Tribolium castaneum: one gene and its partners. The protein of the gene in region 2 purifies or fractionates together with the protein of the main gene of each other region. This does not show direct contact. Links are inferred from orthologs where the notes say so. Each region holds a gene or a part of one and is shown on either strand. Other genes may lie near its edges.

Region 1 (5,227 bases), on a different chromosome or scaffold from region 2:
GTAACAATGACATCTACGCTTGCGCGCAGATCGCACCGAAAATATCGCGCCAAAAGTGTTGTTTTGTCACTCATCGTTCAACGTGTTACCGGAAGTATGTAGCAATTATTTGTTTAATCGTTTAATCAAAGCAAAAATTCTGATTACAGTTCGTTAGTGAGTCAATTCCTGGTGTTGAGCGCCGACCAAAAAGATAAGTATCTCTTATTTTATTAATATAACCTCATCTTTTTGATTGGTGTTTCTTTCTATTTTAAAGGCATTGGTCTGGAGTGACGGATTTTTGATTTCTACTACTCAACTGAACTTTAGTCATGGCTGGTTATCGCAAATATTCCTGCAAATACCCCGGATGCACCAGTGATTATGTTCCCAACAAAGGACAGTCCAATAAGCATTTCTTCACCTTCCCTAAGAATCCAAAGCTTCAAGAATTGTGGAGGAATGCCTGCAAAATTGAGGATCCTGTAAGTTCAAAATTTTGGCGTTTTCGCTATTTAGGGTATTTCAGAATTTACTTTTAAGTTTCTTATTTGCGCTCGAGTGTGTCAGTGCACTGCATGTACCTCCTCGTGGTCGTAGCGTGGGCAACTGTTTGCTGACAGACAAGGTAAAAGTCATTGCAAAGCAGACCTTATTTTGTTTTAAGTCTCGAGCAGACAGGCAAAACATGCCAACACTGACTGATTTAATTTTTTTATAATTTTTGTATAATTAAGAAATAATACAATACTTTAATTTTTTGAAAAATTTAATTTGTTATGTTACTCAAGTGTACAATAAAAATGTTAACAAAATCTGTGTTTTATTACCCCAAAACAACTTTTTTTGTAAGTTTCATTTCAAATTTTGTTTAAAATAAATATAAAACGTTTTCATTTTGTTTAAAATGAAAATATATTTTTTTATTTTAAACAATTTGCAATGAAACTTGTAAGATAAAAATAATAAAAAACAATATAAAAGGAATTTATTCAAACGTGGCACTTTACCGTGGTAGTAACGCACTTCAGCACCAGAGGCGCTGGATTCTCGTGTTGCCAGTGATTTACTAGGGAATTATCACTTCTTAACCCTTTCTGTTCTGTGGTTTTAGCTGCATGGCGGCAGCGATTGTCTGGTCGACTCTAATGTTCATGGTGCCAGCACCGTTTTTGGTGCTATCTTCTACATTGTATTATTTTTGTATTACGCAACATGTATTTTTCTATTGATAATAATATTAATAATTAATAACGCGAGTGACGCTATGCAGAGAATATGGAACTAGAAGGATCCAGTTTTTATGTCGACATTGAGCCATAGATTATAGATATTTAGTGGCTGTAGATTGGCGACTCTGCCGTCCCCACCACAAATTGTACATTCTAGTTACTGGTAATGTCACGTAAGCGCTAGTTAAATCGCTTGGAGGGAAATTCAAACCCATCCGGTATTTGACAATTCTATCAAATATATTTGAACAAAAACACAGTTTTACACCCGACACACGAAACTTTGGGTTTTACATGTCGCATAAATCAGCATAAATCAGTGTCGGTTGTAAAAATGTGCTTTTGTTCATCCAAGTGCGTGACGCATGTGTTCAACAGACGCCTTAAGATACAATTAAGTATCGAAGGGTTGCGACAAATTTAATAGTTTCATTGATTCTGTGTTCCATCACAACCAGAGACACACCATTTTAACAGTACTCAAGTGTGAACCGTTGGAGACGGCAAACAACAAATTTTTTAAATGATTAAGACAGTAATATATTTTATCTCTCTTGATTGCTTGTCAGCGCTTCGGTGATGTTACCACTAACTAACATCCCCACTCCTGGCTTTTTTTGAAGAGTGAACACTCCCTGATTGAGCGATTGTAATTTTTGGGGAAATTTGCTGTCGTGTGAGCAAAAAATCTTAAGACGAAATTCCCTAAAAGAGGAGTTGTGTTGGTTATGTGAGTATAAATTAATCGATTGTTCACGTTAACCTATAAGAGTGTTTTCCAAGTTGTAAATTGATTGAACGATACGTTTGAAATATAATGTCGATAATAAAACAATTATCGATCGAAAAAATGGTAGATCCTCCGATGTTTTAGCGGAAAAGTCTCTGAAATTAGGGAAGCAGGAAAAAATCCGTCAACATGGCTTCTAATAACAATCAGCAGAATGGATGGTTGAGTGGCTTAGGAATGGGATTTGGGGGCGCCTTAAGTTGTGTTCCGGAACAACAGCAACAACAACAGCCAGGGGCTTCCTCAGATCCAAATCAGTTTGAACAATTAGACAGGACTAGTGTCGGCAGTAATACTCTTAAGGTTGTTCACGTAAAATGTATTGGTCACAATTCTAGTTTTATTTTTCAAACAGAGAAATCCAAAAATGGAGCTATCTAAAAACGATCTTCTTAAATTAGTCACGTATTTTGAAGGTGAGATCCAAGCTAGAGACATCGCGATTGCTACCTTGAAGGTACCCGACTCTCTTTAAGCCTTTTCTACTACTAACTTTTTTTATTTAGTCTGAGAGGTTGAAACAAGTAGTGAATGTAGGACGTTATAGACCCGCTGTGGCGTCTGATCCCTACATAGCTTTACTTAGAGACAGTATTGCCGATGGACCAAATGCAAAACCTGTTGTCAGTGAACAGGAAATGGCTGTTGCAGCTGAACAACAGTTGCAAGCACTAGAACAATTAGCGCTTCAACAAAGACGAGCTCATCAACATATGATAAATATATTAAAAGAAGCCGAAGCAAAACATAGGAAAGTCATACAAGAACTAGAAGAAGAAAAATGTAAACACGAACATGACACTGCTCAAGGTGATGATATTACTTATGGTTTAGAAATGGAGAGGACTAGGTTAAGACAAGAATTGGAAATGGAGAGGTCTGCAAGGAAAAAACTAGAAAAAGAAGTTAAAAAACAATTAGAAATGGCTGACGAAGAAAGAGCAAGACAAAAACAAATTGTTCTGCTTTTGTTGGCTGAAAGGAAAAAAATTATAGTGAAATATATCGAGGAGAGAAAAAGGAGTGAAGATTTAGCACAAGTAATTTAGCTTTAGTGTCTTAATACTGACCAATATTTGCAAAATTTTAGATATTATCTGAAGAAAAGTCAAGGATTGACAGCATGGCTGAAGGTTTAGAGGAAGAAAGCAAAAAATCACTTCAAATGGAGGCTGAACTTGAAAAACAACTACACGTTTTTGAAGCTGACAAAAAATCACTAACTCAACAACTTGCCATTAAGGAAGCTAGGTAAACAATTTTGCCTAATTAAAGATCCTCCAAGCAATCGTGTGCTATTCCACTCGCTGATCGAGTGATCAGTGAATGGCCGTTTTTTGCAGCTTAGCTGGTATGTTAATATATTATTTTTCATCTTTAGATGTCAAGAATTGGAGGCTGAATTACAAAAATTAAAAGCTGATTATGAATTATTAAAAACTCGAACTAACGTATCTTGTGATAGTGCAGCTCCTATGATTAGTAGTGTAGCTAAGGTGGTACAACCGACGGCAACTGTTTCAAGTGTTCCAGTTTCAGGCCCTAGTAATTATATAGTTTTTTTAATTATCTTTTTGCTAATCAATTATTGCAGCCACGGGCATTGCACAGTCTGTAACACCAGGCCAGGCTTTGCGTCAGACAGCAATAGCGCCCCCGGTGCAAATGGCAACAACTAAGGTAATGCCGTTCACCACCAGTGTTGCCAGACTTGATGATTTTCGTCGAAAATTTTCATTTAAACTGTGAAAACTCACGAAATTAACTCTTATTTCAGCTTATTTTGATCGATTTACTTCGTTTTTGAATCAAAAAAGCAGACGATTTTCTTTTACAAAACAAGTAGCCTTGGCTGTTCATTTTTTCAGGCAAATAAGACAAAATCACAAAATTTAGCTAGCCAAAAATGGTGTTTTTTGGAACCCTTTACTAAAATACCTTGTGCATTATTAGAAAGATATAAATGAAAACTTATAATAAGGTGAATATTAGGTGCAACTTTTTCGGGTGTGGTGGATTATAGTATATTTTTGAACTGGCAACACTGTCAAGATACGCTGATAGTAAAGTGACCTGTGACTTTGAAATTAAGTGACATTAGCTATGAAATTCAAACTTCGCAGGCCGCTTTGATAATGAATTAATGAATAAGATTGATCAGATAAAGAATTTCAGTTGATGGCAAATGCGGGCCCTTCAACGCAGCCACCAGTGACTCGATCTCAACCTAAACCAGCATTTCACGCCCAATACCAGTCGCCCTCTGCCCCCCAAACCCCTCCCAAGAAGGGGGCTGTGGCCGGGCGTGGCGTTCCTCCCCCAATTCCCCCAAACAAACCTGTCATTCCCTGCAAACAAACGCCAGCTCGACGACCGGACGGTAACGAATCCGAGAAAAAAAAAACAAGCAGTGCCGGTAATAAGGAAGCAGCGCCATCTTCCGGCGAATCAAGTCGTAGTGGCTCTCAAGGAATAGAAATCTTAGGTCAAGAGCTTGCCGATTTTCAACAAATGTTTGTTACTATGGCAACTAGCAATAATACTTAGGAATAATAATATAATTTATTTGTTGACAGGTTGGGGTCTGACGATAATCAGAATTGACCTCAGAAGTCCACTTCTTATGTGATAATTACAAAATTAAATCTATACTTGAATAGTGCATGAGTTGTTAGAGTTATTTTTTTACTTTGGCACTGCAACTTTAGCCCAGTAACTTTTCTTGGGGCGGAGCAAGACTATGAGACGGCTACGTGTACTAAATTTTAATATAAATCTCTAATTGTGACTGAAATATCTCGTTGTATCATATTTTTCGTGCGAAATTGATGTGTATTGCATTTTATTTAATTAATTATTTTTGCTTTTATATTTAGGGACAAGTATTGTTATCTTGAATTGAGCTACTTAAATTTGGTTGTATTTTTTATACAAAATAAATTTTTTTTTGGTATTATGACTCGCCTGACCATTTATGCAAACCAACAATCTACGTTTAACACTAGTTATGTTTAGAAAAGAAAAATATAAATGTAATAAATAGTAGACAAACTATCTGTACATAATGTAAAGTGTTTACTTGTACAAAGTAGTATTAAAAAGTGTGTATATGCATATATTGATAGCTTAAGTATAAGAGTAGGTACGGCGTGAACATCCCATGGATCTCACACTCAAATCTTCCTTAAAGTTACTGAACTAATTTAAGACAGTGCATTGCTAC
Region 2 (3,599 bases):
TACATGTGCTTTTAAGTCTGTAACTAAATTTACTAAAGTTGAAGTTTAAAGAATCTAATTCTGTCATATAATTTATCCGTTGGTCGTTTTTGAGATTTAATTTATCCTATGACTGTTTTATATAACTTGCATATTAACATTAATAATTAGAAAATTCATTCGCAAACAAAAACAACATTGAAGCATCATTTATTTCATGTCATTAGAAATATTAAAGAGAGATTATTTATGTGCTTTCCACCAACTTTTTGTGCAATTAAAGAAGTTCAATAAAATTATTTTTATTTTATTTTTTTTGGTAAAATTATAATTATCTTTAAAATATGTATTTTCAAACATCCGACTTGCTCTAAAACGTGTGCCTTGCAAAAATATTTATCGCATTATTTATACTAACCAAGTACATGATAAAGAGCCTTTTGTAGATCTCGCTTAAATTAAATATTTTATCATAAATGGAATTTTTTCCCTTTTTTTTTTAGAATATTATTGCTTTAATAGCAGGCCACATTTTCAAAGTATTTTTCTATAAATGTGTTCCTTGCCAAGTAGGAAATTTCGTTTTCGTTGTCAAGTCATTCAATTTTTTACAATTTTTTGTTAATAAATGGTTAACACACTCATTGTTTTCTACATATTTCAACTATTATTGATTGTTCCATATCGCTTAAGCTTTTATGAGAAATACAATTTTTAATTTTTGATTAATTCAAATCCTAATATAATTTTTAATACATTCATGTTCTTTGCCTCAGTTATTATTTTTTGTGGAACAAATTAAACAATATTTATATCGAGTTATTTTTTCTATAACTCAAGAATCAACTCTAGAAGATTTTAATTCAATTTTTTTTTCTCCTAGTAGTATAATCATATGATCAAATCTCCCACACCACGCAATCAAATAAAAAACGTCAAATTGTAGAATATCACATTAATGCACGTCTTTACAATTTAACAAATTTGCCTTTTTTTAGATACTTTCAGTGATATTTTATTTTGCCACAGATTTCAGTGGTGCTTTTAATTATTATATTCCACAATCTTTAGATTCTGTGGTTGCGGTTTAGCTCGCTCTTAGGTCGAGTTGTATAAAAAATTCCTCTTCTTTAATCCCGCTTTATTAACTCATAGCGACGATTATTACAAGAATTTTAAATCAGGATTTTTTACTTTTGCTTTTGTCCAGGTTTTACCCCCGATGGAAGGAGTACGAGGCAAGTCAGGCCTCCTTCCTCCAGTACTCCCTGGACGAGGCGCAGTGGGACGAGGACTGGACGAGTTTGTTGTCGCTGGCCAGCCAGCCGGGGACTAGTTTAGAACAATTGCACGTTTTTACCTTAGCTCATATTTTGCGCCGCCCTATAATCGTATACGGAGTGAAATACGTGAAGAGTTTCCGCGGCGAGGCGCTCGGTTACGCCCGCTTCGAGGGCGTGTACTTGCCCCTGCTGTGGGAGCAGAGCTTCTGCGTACGCACACCCATCGCCCTGGGCTACACCCGCGGCCACTTCTCGGCCCTGGTCCCGCTGGAGCCGTACAGCAGGCTAGACACGCGGCCGTCGCCCCAGCACTCGAACATCGGCGCCGACCAGCTGCAGAGCACCTTCCTGCCGCTGATGGACCGGGACCGGAAGCTGCTCCCCATCCACTTCCTCACCGAATCTGAGGTAGGCCGTTGTCAGTGTGCGAATTTTTGTGACGGTTTGATTGGTTAGTTGGGCCGCGAAGAGACGATCCTGCGCCAATGGCTGGACGTGTGCGAGACGGAGGGCGGGATCTTGGTGGCTCAACAGCTGCTGCACAAGCGCCCTCTGCTAGTTGCTCAAATGGTCGAGGAATGGCTGAACCACTACCGCCGCTTGATGTAAGTAGGCGTTGGCGTCTAGGCGGAGCTTGCGATCTGATTGGTTGCTTGCAGTCAGATGACGTCGGCTCCGTTCGCTCGACCAATCCCCATTCAGGATTATTTGAGCGAGTATGACACCGACGACGAATAGCGAAGGTTTAAAGGTCGTGTCGAAGCGACGCGATGCGTAGACGGTGACTAGGTATAGGTTAGGTTGAGCCGGAATTGCACAGCGTCAGTAGTGGGAATTGATCTGATTTAAAATTATTTGTTTTTACTTTTTGTTTCTCTTCAAGGGCAGATTTCTTCCTCTTGCCTATGCAGATATTGTATAGATTTTCCCGTGGGTAGGATATATTTATTTTTATAGATAGCTCAAGTACAAATAAATTGCTAAAAATCTATATTTATTTCACTGCGTGTGGGTTTGAAGGGAGCTGACGAACCCGTTTTTGTGATGATGTGCTTTATTTTTATTTTATTTGTATATGGAAGATGTTGGTTGGATATATTATTGTTCTGTTGGGTTGTTGATATCATTTCTTGTTGTGCTGTGAATTATCTCAATGCGGAAATTTATGCAAATGTATGGTTTTTAATAACAAATACAAAAAAGTCAAATTACTTCTAACTTTTCTTAGATAGAACAAGTTTCAAAATAGAGTCTTAAAATGTGAAATACTTACGAAATTTATTATACATAATTATATTGCATTGTTAACACACTGTTATAAAAAATATATATTATAAATAGAAAATAAAGCGTTTAAAATTATTGCATAACAACTGCCTTTCATTACACCCACCTCCTTTTCCCTATCTAAAAACACTAAAATTGCGGCAAAAAATATTGAGACCACTACGAAGGTGGTCTATCAACTATCAAGAGACTAAGATCACAAGAACACGAAAAGTTTTTAAACAACTACCACTTCCTAAAGTCGACTTTCTTTCTACAACTAATATTATGGAATCTCATGGAAGTAACCAAAAGCTGAGAGTGTACATACAGTAACTCTTTAGTATTAGACCACCATACTTACAAAATAAATCACGAAACCTTGTTTAATTTGATTTAAAATAAATGACCCGGCGCATCCACCATTTTTTCAATGTGAAGAAAATTCGCAAATGTTTTAAATAATAAAGTAAAATGGTTTCAAACGTGTGTTATTCTTACATAACCTTGAAAATGTGGGCCAAATACCTTCCAGTTTTATTGCTTATGTTGGCTTTAGAAAAAGACCTGGAGCAACCACCATTTCTGCCGAAGATTCTGGGAGAAATTATGTATTTTAAATCTGCTTTTGTATTAATAAAAAAAGGAAAATGTTTTAAAACGTGTTTTATTCTTACACAACCTTAAAAATACATAGGAAACCGAAAAAATATTATCGTATCCTTTTCGCCGTCGTGACGACTCAAAGAAGAGAAATATTTCATATAAGCATCAATCACACTTAAGTACAATTAGTCACGCTGATATCAGAGGGCGTCCCTCTCAACTCATTGTTTAAAGTCTTCAAGAGCGGGTGTTTGCCACACCCACACCTGTTCTTAAAATCGTCCAAATCCAAAGCCCAGACCATGCCCCCGCCCAGTTTCAACGCCTTGACCAATCGCGACTTGCGCCGGATTTCGGCGATATCATCGTACGACACCCATTGGTTCGACAAATAGGCATATGGACCAATGCGACCTTGAGGGTCCCTCGTCACCGTCCAACCCCTCTTCTTCACCCGTTCACAAA
Region 3 (4,588 bases), on a different chromosome or scaffold from region 2:
GTAGTTGATGAGATCGTCACGCGTCCACTGAGGATTCTGGTCGCCGCACAGCATAATCCTCATTTCGTCTGGACTAAAAGCAGCCAACTTCTCCATAGGGAACACCGTACAGAAGCCTTTATGGAACGCTTCGAGTTGTCTAGCTATACCTTTATCTAAGCAGAACGACGTTGTCAATTCCGCATATTCCTCTATATTTTCTATATTAACTTCAATATCGGCTCCGTTCGACACTAATTCGACAGCCGAAAAGCCGAAAGCACTAGAACTAGGCGCGTATGTGAACGTCAAAGCTAAATCTTCTAAGAGCACAGGCCCAGAAGCGTGATTCAAGCACATATTTTGTATTTGATGTGTTTTCGCTTCGGGCGAAAGATTATGATCTTGCATTACTTTATGTTTCTGTTTCACTAATTCCCTAATCTGTTTCAAGAAATTCGCTCTGATGTAGTCAATATCATGGAGATCCTCTTCACCGAGAATATTCAAATACCACGGTTTTTTATCCTCAATAATCATTTTAGGCGGATCCAACTCCAACTCTTTCTCACTCTCTTCCGAGATCAAACTCGAAGTCATAATATCATCCTCGCTCGATTTTTTAACACCCGCAAATCCAATCCGTTCATTGACTGTGTTCTGAATCTCTCCATGACACATCAATTTCAAGAAACTCTGACTCAACGGCAAGTCAACTAAACGATTATCTTGCAAAACTTTCGCGAGAAACACGCCCAAAAACCAGAAATACTTAACGGCCTTATCACAAATTTCAGAATTTTGCGGCAAAGGTGCAGGGAATAGACCCGACACTCGCCGCACGTAGTATCCGGGAGGTTTAACACCCTCACCTAGATCAACAATTTCTTGCATATCAATGGCATCATCGTCACAAATCCACATCCCTAAATCCCTCCTCTGTAATTCGGCAGCGACCAAAGCATAGAATTCTAAAGTTGGGCCCAGTCCTGTACCTTCCTCTCCCAAAAACTCTACTTCAAGTATTGATTTTCTATCCGAATGGATTTTCATAACTTGCATTGCCCAACTCAGAATCTCTTCACCTCTAGGAACTTTCACCCTTTCGTGTTTCAAACGCCCTACTCTAAACTCATGTGGTTCGTCGCGACGTGGTGACAAACCCGTGGTTCTTTGCCTTTCCATTGTGACATCACGCTGGGTTTGCAACCAGACTATACTTCGAGACGCTCCAAATGCGGTACAATTGAAATACAAGTGGCGAGTTTCGAACGGGAATAAAAACGGACACGAATGATTCAACTCTTCACACCATGCCGGTAAACTAGAACTCGACAGTACCAACGGGTCTTGGATTTGTTGCAATAGCTTGTTTGTGATCTTTTTGCTAGTATATTGGTCGGGAGTGATTTCGATGTTGTTGTCTAACGAATTCAAATCGTTCTCTTTTGTTGTTGTGATTACAAAAAGATGACGTAGTAACTGAAGGACGTCTTCGACGGTACAATTTGAGACTGATGGTGTTCCAGGAACAGGAGTACTGGGTGAAAGGGTGGTACCAGCAACTGAACTACTTCCACTTCGGGAATAAAGGACAACAGGAGTGGCACGACCCTCTTCCGAATCGTAAGTTCCATCGTCTTTTAATTCGCGATATACAATTCTTTAAACACGAAATAATAAATAATTGAAACATTTTAGCATGGAATTAACTTACATATATGTGGGTTCCCAAATCCGTCTCAGTTTCTCTTGTTTTGAACCGAATTCGGTCATTTGCATCAACTCTTGAACCGCTCTAAATATGGTCCAAGACGGATCGTTTAATTCGATTTCAACGTCGGGAATTCCCGGCATATTTGGACCCCTCAACACTAGTTGCAATTTCGGTTGTGGCAACAATTCGTGTTCTAAATAAGAACCGTTTTCTTCTTGTCCAGGCGGTGGTACTTCCAAATCTGCATTAATTGTAAATAAAGAAAATTGTCATTTTTTATGCAAGAGAATGAAATTGAATTGTTAATTCGCAAGGAGCAGAGATTAAGGCGTAAGTCGATAACGCAGTATTTTTCCCCGTGTATTTATTTTCCATTCACCGAAAAATTTAGTTTAGAGAATTTTTAATTATACTTTATACTGCACATAAACCAGAAAAAGTATATTACAGATTACAATACAGAACTACTAGCAAGCCGTTCTAGATTGTAGTGCCTCTGTGAAACGACCACTATAATTTTAGGCAAATAATTTCAAAAATCCAAATATTGTTTCTCTGAAAAATTTTCAATTTTTTTATTTTCTCAATTACGGCAAACAATCGGCAAACCTAAGTGTGATACGTAAAATAATCCGTAGAATTCGATGGAACAAACCGCTTTGTTATAAGACGTGTCGTTTTAGAGTTGTGAATTTTTTTAATAAAAAAACTAAAAAAGTCTCTGTGAAATGATCAGCAAAATCTTCTAGTAAAAAATATGATCTTTATAAACGTATAATTTCAAAATGTAGATGATACCGTGGAATACAGTATGTAACGTAAAGACAGGGACAAAAGAGAACCAGATATTTCCCAGATCAAAATAAAGCGCAACTTACCGTTTAAAAGTTATAGATATTTTCGATTTTCTTTAATAACTTCTTAATAGAATAAGAGTTTTTCATGAAATTTAATAAAAATAATTTACGATTAAAACCACATGTTTTGGGTCTATTTCCTTTGCTTTTTTTTGGTTATGGTAAAGTACTTATTAACAACATTAAACGTTCAAAGCTATATTTTTGTCATCCAAGCGGCACCAATTTTTTATTCGAAACGGCCATTAATTTTAAACAATTTTTATATGATAAATTATTGCATCATGATCATGATTTTGGAATAAAAGTATAATTTAAAAAGTGTCAAGTGTCGCCAATTAGTTGACAGTTATCTCTGATTTTTTACTATGAAGTAATTGTTGGTCGATGATTTCAAAACTGCCAAAAGATTTTTTCTATCAGTTTTAATTTTTGAGATAGTACAGGTGACTCATGCTTTTAATCATTTACTTATTTTGTTACCACACACATTTTTTGCTGTTTTTGAGTAAATTATTATTTAATGTTGTAACAGTTAAATTTTACAAAACGACAGTGTAATTTAATTAGTTATATTGGGTTAAAATCGATTTTTTTTTTAAATTCACAACTGTGAATACTACTTTATGAGAGACAAAAATAATAAATTTTAAATAAATTGAATAATTAAGCCATTCAGATAACGTATAATAAAAACATGCCCCAAAATGTGTTAAATTATTGATAGGTAGTATCTATTTTACAATAAGAAAAAAACTGATTCCGTTGTCCCCATCTTTTCGTTACACCCTGTATATTAAATACCTAAGTTTTTTCCGAACAGTTTATACCCGATAAAATATCTAAACAAATTTTAAGACTTGTAGGCAATTTAGTGTACCAGATGATTATTTAAATTTTGTTTATTTTATTTTATTGAAAAATCTAATCTACAGACTGATCCAGAAATACTGTGCCTGTTGACAACACTGAATTTAAATTTTAAAAGATTCGAATGAAGTATACACATCAAATTAACAATAATTCAACAATCTTGTGGGGTTGTATGTCAAATATTTCTTAATAAAATGTATCCAAATCCCGCCTGCTGGATATTTTGTAAATAATGCATTGAAACGGAGATTCACGGTTTTGGGAGTTGCTATTGTGCTAATTAATTAATGATCCAAAACAAAACCAATGAAAACAACAAAACAAGATACACAAGACAGAGTTTGACAAATGTGCCCGAAACTGTAGCGTTCAAAACGGGAATCATTTGAACTTGACAAATTCCAGGCGAGAAAAGTCATTTTATAAAAACAGTGACGAGTTAATCAATCAGAATCCTTTAAAGAATCTCTTGTAGTGTTAATGTAATTTTACATCATGGTTCAAGCAAATGTCCTGTAAAAAATAATAACATACCTGTAGTCTGATTGACGTTAGTCCTTCCCGGTCTCGGATCAAACGCGGGAATTAAAGCCGAAAATTGCCTTTTCAGCACATACTCATCATCCCATGATCGCCTCTTACTCGGCCTTGAACTCGTTTCAAACCCTTCTTCCTCCATAAACGACAACAAATTCCTCGAAACCATGACTTCGTCATAATCGGCGTCGTCTTCATTTTCATCATCGTCGTTATCATCTTCATCGCCCATCTCCTCATCGTCGTCCAACTCAGCAAGAAGCGTCGGCGCACGACACGATTCCAAAAAATCCTCAAGTGACACCTGTTCGCTGTCGCTGCTCGTCGACGTTAGACTCATCGTCAACGCTTGACTCAACCCTTGCACCGTCCCTGCAGTCGTCGAAATTCCCCCTTGTTGAGCTGCTGTGTTATTACTCGATGATAAACTAGGATAACTTTGAGCTGTACTAAGCAAACCTCCAGGAAAATTACTCGATAAAGCAAGCCGCACCAAACTCGACACCGAATTCGGTCCTCTCGGAAACAAAGAACCCGTATTCTGATTATTCTGTGCGTTGGAATTTGTTATAGCGCCCGAATTATTCGGGTTTGCGTTCGAACTGTTCGTCGTGGTGACCGAACC
Region 4 (5,163 bases), on a different chromosome or scaffold from region 2:
ATGGACTTCTATATGTCTTAACAACTCACTAAAGTTGTTAAAAGTCCACAAAAAGTCCATATGTTCAATTTTTTGATGTTTGATTTTTTCAATTTTTGTCGCGATTTTGGTCGATTTCGGGTACCCGGAACATTTCTCGAGCAATAGCTCCGGAACTATTAGAGATAACCCCATCAAGTGTATTATCGTTGGAAAGCTCTTTAAATTATCTATTTTTTTCAAAAAAGATTATTGTTCTCCGACTAATAGTTTTCGAGCAAATTGCTGCTAAATGCAAAAATTGGTAAAATTTTAAAAAATTCATAACTAAAAAACTATTGGGAATTTGGCAATTTTCTCGATGCCAATCGATTCCCCGGATCATTTTGCATAGATATGGATCAAAACAGTTCCACTTTTTACAATAGTTTAGCCGTAAATGAGAAAATAAAAAAAATTAAAAAAAAGTTAACACCCCCCCCTTAAAATTGGTCAATTTTTAAAGTGTCTCAAAATCAAATAAAACCTATTCTATCCTATAGATTTTGATGTGCTCTTTACGATCGAACAAACCGTTTTCTTCTAGCTCTTTTAGTTTGGCCGTAATCGGCGTTTGAAAATTGAAATTTTTTTTGCGAGATATCGCCTTAAGTCCTATGCCATTTTGTAGAGTTTTTTATTCCGGTTATCCTCCATTTTTCCGTTTCTCTATATCTTTAATAGTTTCGCCGTAATTGGCGATTAAAAATTGAAAAAAAGTGAAAATGGAAACCTTTTTTTGCGTTTTTCTCGGAAACTGTAAGACTTAGAGCAACGAACAAAAAACCATCTGATAGCGCTTAATTTTGTCTAATTTCTCGACCAAACCCGGAGCCGCTCCGGGCAACGGTTCCGGCTACAGAGGCGATCAAAGTTTTTCACTAAAAAAATTCATAAAAAAAAAACTAAAAGTCGTAGAGCATTGCGGTTTGTTCGGTTGAATTCTACGGCTCATTTTACATATTATATCGATTTTTCACAAGAATTAAAAATTTAAAAATTTTTGCCTAAATTTAGGGTAGCCATTTGTCATAGTGAAAAATTTTATTCATTAAAAAAATTCATAACTCGAAAACTAAAAGTCGTAGAGAAGTGCGGTTTGTTCCATTGGATTCAGCGGCTTTTTTCCTTTATTATACTAATTTTTCACGCAATTTAAAATTTTCTATTTTTTTGCTCAAATTTCCTGAGTATTCTTGTACCTTCAAAGAGATGAAAAAAAAATTGTTAAAAATTGTTGTTAAAAGTCCACAAAAAGTCCATATGTTCAATTTTTTGATGTTTGATTTTTTCAATTTTTGTCGCGATTTTGGTCGATTTCGGGTACCCGGAACATTTCTCGAGCAATAGCTCCGGAACTATTAGAGATAACCCCATGAAGTGTATTATCGTTGGAAAGCTCTTTTAATTATCTATCTTTTTCAAAAAGACTACTGTTCTCCGACTAACAGTTTTCGAGAAAACTGGAAATAAAAGCAAAAATAGGTAAAATTTTAAAAAATTCATATCTAAAAAACTGTTGGGAATTTTGCGATTTTCTTGACGCCAATCGATTCAGCGGATCATTTTACATAAATTTACATCAAACAATTTTACATATATATTTGTCGTAATTGGAAAAAAAATTCCAAACACAAAATAGCAAACGTGTTATTTAGTTATTGAGATACAGAAAAAAAAATCTTTTAACAAACTCATCTTGTATGAGTCGAATGTAATGCGCAACAGAAACTTTCCTTGACTTTTAAACGTTGTGAAATAAAAATAGTATGTACATAATTTAGATTTTTTAAAATACAAATTATAAACAAAAGAGAAATACCAATTTGTTTAATATTGTTGGTAAAAAATTTGGAGGCTTTCCGGAACAGTGTTTAATTTTTTCATTTAAATGTAGTGTTAAAAATAGCACAAAAACGGGTGGTCCCACTTAACCTTCCGAATTCAAATAATAATAGTAAAAAAACAGTCTAGTATTTGCCGACTTGGCCCAACTCCAAAACGACAAAAATCACTACAAGTCCGAGCAATTAATCAAAATTGGGTTCAAAATGAGCCGTTTTCCACCTTATTATGTGTTTATTTTTTTTAAATAAAAACTGGGCTTTTATCGTTATCATTCTTACGTCAAACAAGAAATATCAATTACAAGTCAATTACCATCAGTGTTATTTTCGACGATGCTGGGGCTGGCTTTGGCCTCCCTCCCATCAGGCATGTACAGTTTAAGCGTTGCGATAATGCACCCATGGGTCACCTTCTTGTTGTTTTCAATGACATCGACCCCAAACTGGACAATGTCCCCCGAACTGACCTCATGGTGCTCCGTCTCGGCCACCAGGCGATTATTGTTGACGAAAGTCCCGTTGCTGCTCTTCGTGTCCTAAACCGGGGACTTTAGTCACAACTCACTCCCAAGGGGGCCCTACCTGAAGGTAAAACTTCCCGTTCTCGTACCAGAGCACCGCATGGTGCCTGGACAGCACCTTGCAGTCGAAGATGGCGTTGGCGCAGGTGGCTTTGGCCTTCGCCACCGAGCGCCCCACCTTGACCGGCTGGTCCAGCAGAAGGGTGCGCTCCTGGAAGGGGTGCGAGTTGGGGCGGCAGATGAGCACGGCTTTGGCGAGCATCTTGGCGTTGCTGCTCTTTACCATGGGGGTTGGGTATGCGGCCACATTCTTCACCCAGATCCCGCTTACAACGACCATCGCCTGGGGTCAAGTGGGGGCAACGAGATTAATTGACAGCCGACCAAAGCAGCACACTGACACTCCACAACGCGCTACAACACAACCAACTCACCTAAAACGCAACGATTTGGGGTTTTAGAGCGATTTTCATTTACTGGGTGAAGATATGTCAAAATTTGTGGGCGTGAAACTAGCTCAAGAACTAACGCAAATCGTACCAATTCTACCACATTTTTTGCACCCGAATCGGACCAGTTCGATCGCACCGACACCACGCACGGGATTTACATTTTTTACGAGGGGTTTTTTACCAAATTTATTGCAAGTTTTTATCGCGCAGTGACATTTTCGAGCACAAAGACAAGGCTGTGTTAGGGATTTTCGCCTTTCACCAGAGTGGCACCTCTGACCTTTCACCACCTAATTTCACGTCAAACGATTCGTAAACAGAAAGTTAGGTTACTTTAACGACAAAAACTTGAAAAAAATGGCAAAAAACACACCGGGGGACCGCGATAGCAGCCCCGATATGGAAATCGAGCGCGACCACAAGCCCATAGTCATACGCAACTCCACGGACTTGCAAAGACTCAAACTGGAAAAACTGATGAAAAACCCGGTAAGTGGCCCCTGAGAGTTGTTAGCATTGTTATAAATTGTGTAGGAGAAAGAGGTGATCATCCCCGAAAGGCCCAAAGAGCGGGGGGTTCCCGTGGTGCCTGATTTTGTACGTAATGTCATGGGGAGCAGCGCTGGGGCTGGTTCTGGGGAGTTCCACGTCTATAGACACTTAAGGAGAAAAGAGTACGCGAGACAAAGATACATGAAAGAAAAGGGCGAAAGGGTAATTAATTTGAATTATGCCTTCGTTATTTTTGAAAAAAGTCTTTAGGAAAAGTTGGATAACGAATATCATGCCAAACTTGAAGAAAACAGGAGGAAAGCGGAGGAAAGGACGGCGAAGAAGAGACAGAAACGACTAAAGAAAAAGCAAAAAATGAAAAAAAAGCCGAAGTTAGGCAGTAAGTCTTCACAAAGTGAAGCAACCGACAGTAGTAGCAGTGAAGAAGTTGAAAGTGAAGAATGTGAGAAAAAGAACGAAGAACAAACGCCAAGTGAAGACAGTAAGCCTACAAAGGAAGAAAATACAGAAGATCGGAAGGAGGGTGGAAAAGAAGACGCACCAAAAGAAACTCCTGATAACACTAATGACGAAATTAAATAAAAACCAAATAAACGTATTTTTAATTATTTGCCTGTTTTTTGTTATTATTTGATCATGCCTTTTCTATGGAGAACTGTAACTTATGAGACGAAACGAGATACATAAGTCGTACTATTTACGTATTTTTTGTATGCTATGTGCTAACAATAAAACAAATAAAACCTTTTTTTTTAATTGATTGCCCATTCTTATGAAAACAACTGCGTTCTCTAGCGACCTTAACGGAACTATCAGGGAGAGGAACGTTTTATTTGTAGGTGGCTTCGTATCCTAGCCTTTAAATCTCCGTAGTCCTACCTCTCTCAGTCCCCTAATTTTTTTATTTAAAAAAAATTTGTAACGTAAAATGGTGATATAACTGTTTGAGTTGCTTTCAGCGTTAATTTCTAATTCAAAGCATGTGTTCAAAACCCATTTTGTTCAAAACTATCATAGTGACACAACTTTTAAAAAATATTTCTAGCCCGGCGCCTCCACCAAAAATGTGAAATTATTAAAATTTGTACGAAATATTTTTATCTAAATGAAACAAAAATCTATGTTTTTATGATGTTTAATTAATCTTTGTTACAGAAAATTGCATAATAGTGAAAAAAAATATTAATTAAGCGTGCTATGTTTGTCATTACTTGTCACTAGCACTGTCACTGGGATTTTCATACTTTGAAAAACCGTAAAAAATCACAAATTGTGCTTTTTTAAAGTAATGAAAAGTAAAAAGTGTACTATTTGTGCGAATTTGTATTTTGTGTTGCTCGCCTAGCCTTTCCGCAGCCTTTCCCCCTAAACTTTCCCCAAATTCCCCATCCGTTGGCAATACTGCTCTTACTCACGCAGTTTTGTCATTTCGTATCGCCAGTGTTCGCGACCGTTACAAGTGTCCAGTGTCTCTGTTATCGCCTTTTAACCAAATCGCAGTGAAATAGTGTCTTGGATAATCACTTTATCACACCTTGTAAGTAAAATTTCCCCTTTATCACTTTCACAGCCGCCTATCCGGCGGAAATCCCAGACGAATTGACATTGGCCAAAGCAAAATGGCCGATATTGATTTTGTCTAAAAGGCCACAAAACGGGAAAATGCCATTTTCCGAGACAATTTTCCGCGGTAGCGGTCATTAAACCCGCCCCCCTTTGCCCAATCGGCGGCTGGACTGCCTGTCGCGCTTTTGGCGGGGCTCAAGGGGGCTGTCGCTGGTCCAAAGTACAGTCTGGGACGCAAGTAATGAC

Evidence for each region.
Region 1: the proteins of trbd (region 2) and Naus purify together in Homo sapiens (affinity purification with mass spectrometry; 4 studies listed by BioGRID and IntAct, with this or other methods). This does not show direct contact. The link is inferred for Tribolium castaneum from reciprocal best matches to the Homo sapiens genes ZRANB1 and CTTNBP2NL.
Region 3: the proteins of trbd (region 2) and Ufd4 purify together in Homo sapiens (affinity purification with mass spectrometry; 5 studies listed by BioGRID and IntAct, with this or other methods). This does not show direct contact. The link is inferred for Tribolium castaneum from reciprocal best matches to the Homo sapiens genes ZRANB1 and HECTD1.
Region 4: the proteins of trbd (region 2) and Slmap purify together in Homo sapiens (affinity purification with mass spectrometry; 3 studies listed by BioGRID and IntAct, with this or other methods). This does not show direct contact. The link is inferred for Tribolium castaneum from reciprocal best matches to the Homo sapiens genes ZRANB1 and SLMAP.

What each region holds. Positions count from the first base shown.
Region 1 is NC_087403.1:7,345,891-7,351,117, reverse strand, and holds Naus (CTTNBP2 N-terminal-like protein), read left to right. Parts: upstream 1-1,919; 5' UTR 1,920-2,133; coding exon 2,134-2,307; intron 2,308-2,359; coding exon 2,360-2,461; intron 2,462-2,510; coding exon 2,511-3,044; intron 3,045-3,094; coding exon 3,095-3,255; intron 3,256-3,385; coding exon 3,386-3,549; intron 3,550-3,598; coding exon 3,599-3,684; intron 3,685-4,179; coding exon 4,180-4,551; 3' UTR 4,552-4,580; coding exon of another isoform or gene 4,581-4,608; 3' UTR 4,609-4,960; downstream 4,961-5,227. UniProt on the Homo sapiens protein: Regulates lamellipodial actin dynamics in a CTTN-dependent manner. Associates with core striatin-interacting phosphatase and kinase (STRIPAK) complex to form CTTNBP2NL-STRIPAK complexes.
Region 2 is NC_087395.1:24,403,629-24,407,227, reverse strand, and holds the end of trbd (ubiquitin thioesterase trabid), read left to right. Parts: intron 1-1,189; coding exon 1,190-1,670; intron 1,671-1,718; coding exon 1,719-1,867; intron 1,868-1,921; coding exon 1,922-2,000; 3' UTR 2,001-2,632; downstream 2,633-3,599. Other genes in the region: Cht10 (chitinase 10), read right to left, coding at 3,310-3,599. UniProt on the Homo sapiens protein: Ubiquitin thioesterase, which specifically hydrolyzes 'Lys-29'-linked and 'Lys-33'-linked diubiquitin. Also cleaves 'Lys-63'-linked chains, but with 40-fold less efficiency compared to 'Lys-29'-linked ones.
Region 3 is NC_087402.1:10,959,482-10,964,069, forward strand, and holds part of Ufd4 (E3 ubiquitin-protein ligase Ufd4), read right to left. Parts: coding exon 3,961-4,588; intron 1,938-3,960; coding exon 1,697-1,937; intron 1,643-1,696; coding exon 1-1,642. UniProt on the Homo sapiens protein: E3 ubiquitin-protein ligase which accepts ubiquitin from an E2 ubiquitin-conjugating enzyme in the form of a thioester and then directly transfers the ubiquitin to targeted substrates.
Region 4 is NC_087399.1:2,655,619-2,660,781, forward strand, and holds the start of Slmap (sarcolemmal membrane-associated protein), read right to left. Parts: upstream 3,067-5,163; 5' UTR 2,927-3,066; exon of another isoform or gene 2,821-2,926; 5' UTR 2,727-2,820; coding exon 2,448-2,726; intron 2,402-2,447; coding exon 2,179-2,401; intron 1-2,178. Other genes in the region: PRKR-interacting protein 1 homolog, read left to right, coding at 3,196-3,327, 3,373-3,552, 3,601-3,933. UniProt on the Homo sapiens protein: Associates with the striatin-interacting phosphatase and kinase (STRIPAK) core complex, forming the extended (SIKE1:SLMAP)STRIPAK complex.